Linked DNA regions of Danio rerio. The protein of the gene in region 1 interacts with the protein of each later gene in a pairwise test. Links are inferred from orthologs where the notes say so. Each region holds a gene or a part of one and is shown on either strand. Other genes may lie near its edges.

The links.
Region 2: the proteins of ppp1r12a (region 1) and atxn10 interact in binary tests that used the Homo sapiens proteins (3 or more experiments, as listed by UniProt). The link is inferred for Danio rerio from reciprocal best matches to the Homo sapiens genes PPP1R12A and ATXN10.

Annotation. Positions count from the first base shown.
Region 1 is NC_133179.1:22,109,089-22,112,918, forward strand, and holds part of ppp1r12a (protein phosphatase 1 regulatory subunit 12A), read right to left. Parts: intron 1,218-3,830; coding exon 1,101-1,217; intron 1,016-1,100; coding exon 869-1,015; intron 1-868. UniProt on the Homo sapiens protein: Key regulator of protein phosphatase 1C (PPP1C). Mediates binding to myosin. As part of the PPP1C complex, involved in dephosphorylation of PLK1. Capable of inhibiting HIF1AN-dependent suppression of HIF1A activity.
Region 2 is NC_133179.1:19,331,168-19,335,767, reverse strand, and holds the start of atxn10 (ataxin-10), read left to right. Parts: upstream 1-1,781; 5' UTR 1,782-1,824; coding exon 1,825-1,955; intron 1,956-2,220; coding exon 2,221-2,418; intron 2,419-4,600. UniProt on the Homo sapiens protein: May play a role in the regulation of cytokinesis. May play a role in signaling by stimulating protein glycosylation. Induces neuritogenesis by activating the Ras-MAP kinase pathway and is necessary for the survival of cerebellar neurons.

The DNA.
Region 1 (3,830 bases):
TTAAAATAAAAAAAAACAAAGCACTAATAAACAACCAAAAACAAAAAGGAATCAAACAGACAGACAAATAAACAAATAAAAAATAAAAAATAACATGTATAGCAAAAAACACCACTAAATACACAAAATAAATCCCAAAGAAACTAACTAAAAATAACAAAACATAAATTAAAGTTAAAGCAACCAAACAAACCAAAAAAATGTAAAATAAATATAAAATATTTACCAAATAAAGCACCACAAAAAGCTAGTCAAAAACCCCCCCAAAACAAATTAAAATTAAAACAAACAAACAAACAAAGACAAAACACACAACATACACCTAAAAATATATATAAAAACAAACAAACAAACAAACAATAAATATTAGGTCAAATAAAGTGATTTCTAGTTAATCAGAGCATCCCTAAAGGCTGGTTTAAACATCTGCACTAATCGATTGCATTTATACTTCTGCGGGCAGGCTGTGTTGTTCTGCAATAACACCTCTGAAATGCTAGCTGGAGTGGGAACCAGCGGACGAGCAACAACATTTATTATAAGGTAAACACAAAACAAAAGTTTCCATCTGAAGCTCCTTCACAGGACTCGACACTTGTAAACACTCACTTCTCCAAGCTCGCAGCACTCTGCACCACCCACAATTGTCACCGCTACCAAGCAGATCAATCATAGAGCTTGCGGTATGCATTGCTGTGACGTGTAGTTACATTTTATGAGAGGTTCACGTGAGCATAAGCGTTAGCCTTGGCAAGGGCTATGCGACTGCACAAAATCTGCCGCAGAGCATACATGTGCGATTGATGCAAAAGTCTAAATCAGCCTTAACTGAAAGCATCAGAATCATCCGTGATAATGTGTGGTGTACCTGCGTCTCTCTCGCCCGTCAGAGCCCAGGACAGTTCCAGTGGTGGATGTGGTAGTGGTGGTGCCTGCAGTGTTGATTGTAGGGATAACGGTTGCCGACTCTTTCTCCTTCTCTTTCTCCTTCTCTGCGCTCTCCTCTGCCCAATACCTGTTACACATCCACACATTTCATTACCACACCAGACTCTGAGTGTTTACTGTCAATGTTGTGTTATAGAGAAGTGTGTTTGTACCGGGACAGCAGGCTGCGGTGTCCTGTAGGTGAGGTAACAGAGGAGGTGGTGGTGGTCGTTGTTGTGGACGAGGAAGTAGAACTCAAAGGATCTTCATGTCTTCTTCCAAATGAGCCGCTTTGGAGAAACCCAGATAATAATGATGGGAATAAGTACGGTTCAAAGTCAGAGAGAGAGAGAGTGTGTGTGAGAGAGAGAGAGTAAGAGACACACAAGAGAACCACAAGAGAGTTCCCACGCTCTTAACTAATACATAAAAAAACACAAAAACAAAATCCACAAACACCAAGCAAAGAAACATAACACAACACAAAGAAAATAAAATAAAACAAGAACAAGGTTCTAATAGTTTTATATTTTTCATTAGTTTTAGTTTTTATTTAATTTTGACTATTTAGTTTCAAGTTTTAATTAGTTTTTAGAAGTATTTTTACTAGTTTTTATTAGTTTCTATGTTTTGAAATTGCTTAGTTTTAGTTGAGTTTTTATTAGTTTCACTATTCATTTTATTTGTTGTTGCTTTTTCTAAAAAAGGATATTTGTTAGGTGCAAGATTCAAAATCATCAAAATAAGTACTGTATTATAAAAACTCAACAAAGGATACATTTTTGAAACAGAGGACACATGAACACTACCATCTACCCATGCTGAAATTCAAATTCAACAGCCTATGAAATAGCAGCCCTAAGCACAATATGTGTGCAAGGCTGCCTCTGAGGTTAGATGCACACAGTAGTGTTGGGAAGTTCGAATCTTTAACGTGAATCAGATCTTTTGCGACAATCCTCCCATGTTAGGGCTCAACATATCAAAAATACATAGTCAGTAATCATAATTTAAGTCAGTTAAAACATCATCATGTTCTGAAAAGTTTCTTACAATTAAGTTTTGCAACCCAACTAAAGCATGATTCACTTATTTAGATTCCATTACGATTGTCTGTTATGAAATAAACTTACGTTTTGCTGGATCAGAGAGGGGTCTGGATGTAGACCTGGTGCAGTGCAATCTGAGCTGCATCCAATGGATTTTAATGTGCTCACCTAACCCCACACACCTATCCCTACCCCTCACAGTGACCTTAACAGCTCCATTGAGTGCATTGTGTCTTACATGGCATCTCTAAGATATGCAATCTCAGCTTGCATCCAGATACTATTGCCAAACTCTCTTATTGACCTTGGTAAACCCGCGCTACAGTTGTTCAAGTTTACTTCAGTCACAGCAGGCAGTCGTTTACTGTTTGTGTTCAGTTCACCTGCTGAATTATGCATGTGCAGTATTATCAATTCACTGGTTCTCAAATCTGATTTCTGTGTACTGTTCAAATAACTGAATAATCCAGAGAAACTGGTTTATTTTGAGTCAGAGTGGGGTATCCGGGATGTTAAAAAGTAAGCAGTTAGTAAATAAGTGCTTACTGGAAAGGCAAATTGTTTTAAATGATTCAGTTCAATTTAGTGAAATAGTTTCACCGGTTCTCTTAGAGCAGGGATGTCCAAACTCGGTCCTGGATGGCAGGTGTCCTGCAGATTTTAGCTCCAATTTGCATCAACACACCTGCAAGGTTGTTTCTAGAAAGCTTAGAAAGAGCTTGATTAGCTAGCCCAGGTGTGTCTGAATGGGGTTGGAACTAAACTTAGCAGGACACCGGCCCTTCAGGACTGAGTTTGGACACCCCTGACTTAGAAGATCTGATTAGAAAGAATGATTTGTTTGTTATTAGGCAGAAATAAAACCCTTTATTGGGCACAAATGTGTTAAAATTAATACTTTTAAGTCTCTCCCATGGTCATATTTAATGCTTTCACTGTGCTGCTGTCATGTCCACTTGTTGTTTTTGTCACGGGAGGACTGGAGGAGAACAGGCAGGTCTGGCCAATGACATAAAGATTACAGAATCTGGGGTGTCGCACAGGTCAACACCAAGCAGCGAGAAGCAAATAAATTTATTTCTAAAAGGCTTACATAAGGCTTATGTATTAAATGTATTTACAAAGATGAAAACGAAAGACATTTTGCTATAATCTTAGTTAGCTTCAGTTGGTTTTGTATATACACAATACAGTTTCAGTTAGATCTAGTTTTTTTTGTTTTAAACTCATTTTTATTTTTATTTCAGTTAACAAAAATGTTTTTAAATTTTAGTTTTTGTTTTTTCGCTCATTTTCGTTAACTGTAATAACCTTAAACAAAAACAAAGCAAAAATAGAGCCAAACTAACAAAAACAAAACCAAACACAATCAAAAAAACAAATGAAACATAGCAAAATAAAGAAATATATCCAAACCTAACAAAAAACTAAATGAAGAAACAACAACAAAGCATCAACAACAAAAAACAAACCAACTCAAACTAAGGGAAACAAACTGCACAATAAATAGATAACAATAACAAAAAAGTAAACTAAAATCAAATGTAAAAAAGAAGAACAAAAAAAAAGAAAATATATATGTATATAAAGAAGAAACAGCAACATCTATAAAACATAAAATTGAATAAAAAAAATTATATTCTTTTGGCAAAGTCCGCCAGTGCCAGCACAATAAATAACACAAATACAACAACAACAAAAACACTATAAACTGAAATCAAACTCAACTCCCCCAAAAGAGAGAGAGAGAAAGAAACATCTATAAAACACAGCTAAATGAACATTAAATAATAGAGCTGGGCAATATATCTATTATTTTTATTTCTTTTTATTATTATTATTTAACTGAAGGAA
Region 2 (4,600 bases), about 2.8 Mb from region 1:
GCTGTATTTATATCATATAATTGTAGTGTATTGAGTGTAAGATGGGACTCGCATATCAGGAATGTGTGTATTTTGTGTTGCCCACTCTTTGTATAACCCTGAGATACTTTTTGGTTGGCCATCTGTTTGTTTTTAATGAGTCTCCTGATTTCGTTACTGCAGACTAGTTCAGTTAACAGAAAGAAAGAAGAAATGCCCGCATGTGTTTAGCATTTTCCTTATCACAAACACAACAGTAATCTGGTAGTGTTTGCGCTGCTTTGGCTTTCCCAGGGATAATTATTATGATCTCCCGATTGCAACCGAAATATTTGAAAATGTTTGTAGACTGATGGTGTTTATGCCATTCAACCTTATAATGTGAGCAAAATCGCCTGGTTTGTCATCACTTTAGACATTATGCGAGAGAATGATTCAAAAACCAGCTCTCAAGTAACATTGGTGAATTAGTAACGACTTCTGCTGTTTTGACGTCAGCTGCAGATGGGAATGAATGGTAGAAGAAAGTTGTTCCTCGTACAAAAGGGTTTTAGACTCTGTGTTTGTATATATATATATATATATGTATATATATATGTGTATATATATATGTATATATATATGTGTATGTATATATATATATATATATATATATATATATATATATATATATATATATATATATATATATATATATATATATATATATATATATATATATTTATACAACAGTTCTGTCTGGTTCTCAAATCTGATTGGCTGATAGCCGTGCGATATTCTGCAATATCAGAACTCCTACAGCCTCTTTACCCTTTGTGTAGTACTCCGCCCACATACACGCTCAACTGTTTAACTGTCAGCTTATGATTTAAATCCAGAAGAAAGTAGTTCCTCATACAAAAGGGTTTTTAAGACTCTCCATGTTTGATTTTGTTTTTATATACACAATTATGTTGTCAAACTGTTGTATAAACGCAATATCACACGAGTAGCAGTGCGATATTGCTCTATATCTGACTATATCCGGCTACTCGTGTGATATTAGTTATATATATTAGTTATATATAACTTACAATAGCTTACAATATGTAACAACAAATTAAAAACTGGTACAAAATGTGGTACCAGCACACATTATGTAGCAGGTTAATTTAGATAGTGTCAGCTCATGGTACCAAAATAGGGGTGAAATAAATGAATTAACAGCAAATAAAATTAAAACAAAATTTCTCTGTTCCCTCACTTTTCCATGATCCTTCTCTTTTATAGCTATTTATGTGTAATTTTGGTAATCACTTACTTATTCTAGCAAGATATCAATACAAGGATAGGATAGGATTGTTTGAACTATAAAAACTAAGAAAATATACAATTTTTAGCCTGGATACTTGATGTTGAAGATTTAAAGTAAGTGCTTTTACATGTTTGCTTCATCATTTGCTAAAAATAACATTTTTGTCACATTCCTCTGTCTAAAATTGTCTTTCACAAAATTCAATAACTTTTGTATTTGAAAAATTTTGCTTCGTTTTATATGTGCTAACTTTCATTAATTTCTAACACTTTTCGACATTAGATTTAAAGGTTTTTACAGAGAATTTTAAGCACACCATATTTCAGAGAGGATAATAAAATGTTGCATATATTTATATATGAACGTTTCCTTCTATAGACATTAAGAATAAAATGGGGAAAAAACAATTACCATTTAATACATTTGGATTGTTATGTTTATGTTGTTATCACATTTACATAATCGAAATAACACGAGCTTTTATTTTGAAAACCAGTGTAGCCGGTAGACGGAAGTTGGGGTCTGCATTTACTCGCGCGCGCGTGTTGATTATGGCAGGCTCCGGTGACAGCATGCAGAACATAAACAACACACTTAGTGAAATAACCTGTGAAAAACTTACAAACACGCATCTCGAAGCTTTACAAACCCTGACGAGCGCTTTCAGAGATGAGCAGTTCAGGTACCACACACTTCCCAGTTCACAAGATGAACAGAAACGTGTTATTTTGTGCTGAAGTCGATTCTTATGCATTATGATGATCATATGTATTACCATTTTTTTCTGTATCATATCTGAATCATCCCCTTAGCCACTTAAACAAACCAGCAGTGTGTTTTCAAATAATAAACATGCAATAATTGCTTGTGGAGAAAGCTGCTGTAAAACGTTCCTCTTATTGAAAACTGACTAAGCTTTGTCTGGTGTCATTATTGTCATGTTTCAGAGGCAGTGTTGACAGGGAGGTTTTTGGAAATCTCTCTGCGGTGCTGTCAAGGCTTTCTGTGGATGTCCAACGTTTGACAGATGAGACAGAATCACAGGAGGGAGAAGCATCATCTCTGTGCTTTAAACTCACAGCAGAGTGTTTCAGAGCGCACAGAAATGCCTGCGTGCAATGCACTCAAAACCAGTGCAGTCTGAGGTAATGTCTGAGACCTCTCATAGTTTGAAATGAAATTTCTTTAACAGGGACAATTCTCATTAATCAGTAGTAAAACTGTAAATAAGCCAGAGTTAGCCATAAGGGCTAATTTTCATCTGTTGAACCATGCCAGATTTTAAAAAGGCAACCTAAAACCAGCTTTATTACACGTACAATAACAGTAAATTACATGCATTAAAAAAGACAGAACAAGAATGCCATAAAAAGCTAAAGAAAAGAATTACACATGATTACGAACTTGATTTGCTTTTAGCCATTTCTTTAACTTGTATTTGAATGTTAAACAATTTGTAATACCCCTTAAATCAATAGGATGTTTATTCCAGAAATGACTGGCTCTAACTGAGAAGACTGACGTGCAAAAGTTGTAAGTCTAAACTGCACAGCTCAGTCTCCTCTAGTCATATATCATGTTGCTCTACCATTATTCCTCGTCTGTGTCACAAACTCACATAATGAAGGTGGAGCAAATCCATTTAAAATTTTACAAATCCTACAAGCAACAGCCAAATAATTCATATTATCAGAGCTCAATAAATACTGTTTTTGTATAATATTACAGTGATGATACCTTATAATACTCTTTTGATCAAATACTTTAGGGGCTCTATTTTGACGGTCCATGCGCAGAGCGCAAAACGCAGGGCGCAAACGCTTTCAGGGCGTGTCAGAACACAGTTTTGCTAAATTAAGGACAGGAAAATCCGCTTTGCGTCGTGGCGCATAGTCTAAAAGGGTTGAGTTTATATTCTTTATGAGTTATAGGTGTGTTTTGAGAATAAACCAATTAGAGTATCATCTCCCATTCCCTTTAAGAGCCAGCTGCGTCGCGCCATAAGCGCATTCGCTATTTACAGGACGTAAAGTAAGTCTAAGTGGAAAAAATTTGCATTTCACAAGCAAACAGTTAACAGTTTTTTTAACAGAAAACTGTTAAATAGAGCATCTACTCCGTAAGAATGAGAGATAATGGATGTATTTTCACTTTCGCTCGTGGATAGGGAAACCTTTGCGCATAGACATCAATTAGTCTATAAATAATTAATTGCGTTTGTTAAGCGCAAATAATAGTTTCAAAACTGTTTCTAAATTCAGTTCTAATTTCCAGCAAACGAATAAATGAACAATAATAACAAAGTGTGCTCGAAAACCTGAGTTATATCCTAAAACACATGCTGTGCCCCATATGGTCTAAAACCTGACAGGTGGGCTAATCTAAGCTTGTTTTTAATAAAACAAATATAAATATGGATATAATAAATAATACTGCTAATAATAATAACATTATACAAAAGCAAATTGTTATGAATGAACTGAAAAAGCCTCCTGAGATGAAGAAGGCATAAAAGCAGTGATTTTTCATATTTATGTAGGCTAGAAAATAGTATGTTTTGTAATATTTTAATCCTTTATAATTATATCCTATATCTATTCTTATTATATCATATATATATATATATATATATATATATATATATATATATATATATATATATATATATATCCTTAATATTAAATTTTTTTCATATGTAAAGATATTTGCCTATTGCTCTCTTGTGCGTATTAAGCAGTGCGTAAGCGAGGCGCAACTCTGCGCCGGAGTTTAGACCGGGTTTGTTTTGGTCTACTGAAAAATCTATTTTAGTTTCTCAAAATAGCGACGCGCCAGCGGTACACCTCAGAACGCCTTCCTTTTTAGACCAGAACGCCTATGGCCGCACATATGAGTGCTAATGCATTTGCTATTTAAACAGCGTAGCGCAACGCCTCAAAACGACTATTGCGCCGCGCCTTGTGCCACATTGTGCCGGGTGCATGATAGGGCAATAGGTGTCTGTTTATAAAGTGAATCAACTGATTTTAAAACAGTTTTACTTTACAGAAAAATTGTTGTATATATATATATAATGACAAATTATGTTAAATAATCTTGATTACAACATTGATGAATATGACTTCTGCCATAATCTCAAGCAGCCCTACTTTGTACATACACTTGAAGTCATAGTTTGAAATAAAATTTCTTTAACGGGGACAATTCACAACAACACATTGTCTTCACTGCAAGAACGTTTTTGTTTTGCAATAGAATTTTTTTTTTCAGATTTTTCATAATTTCTGGATGCCAAAATCAAAAATGAAACTGTTTTTCGGATTAATT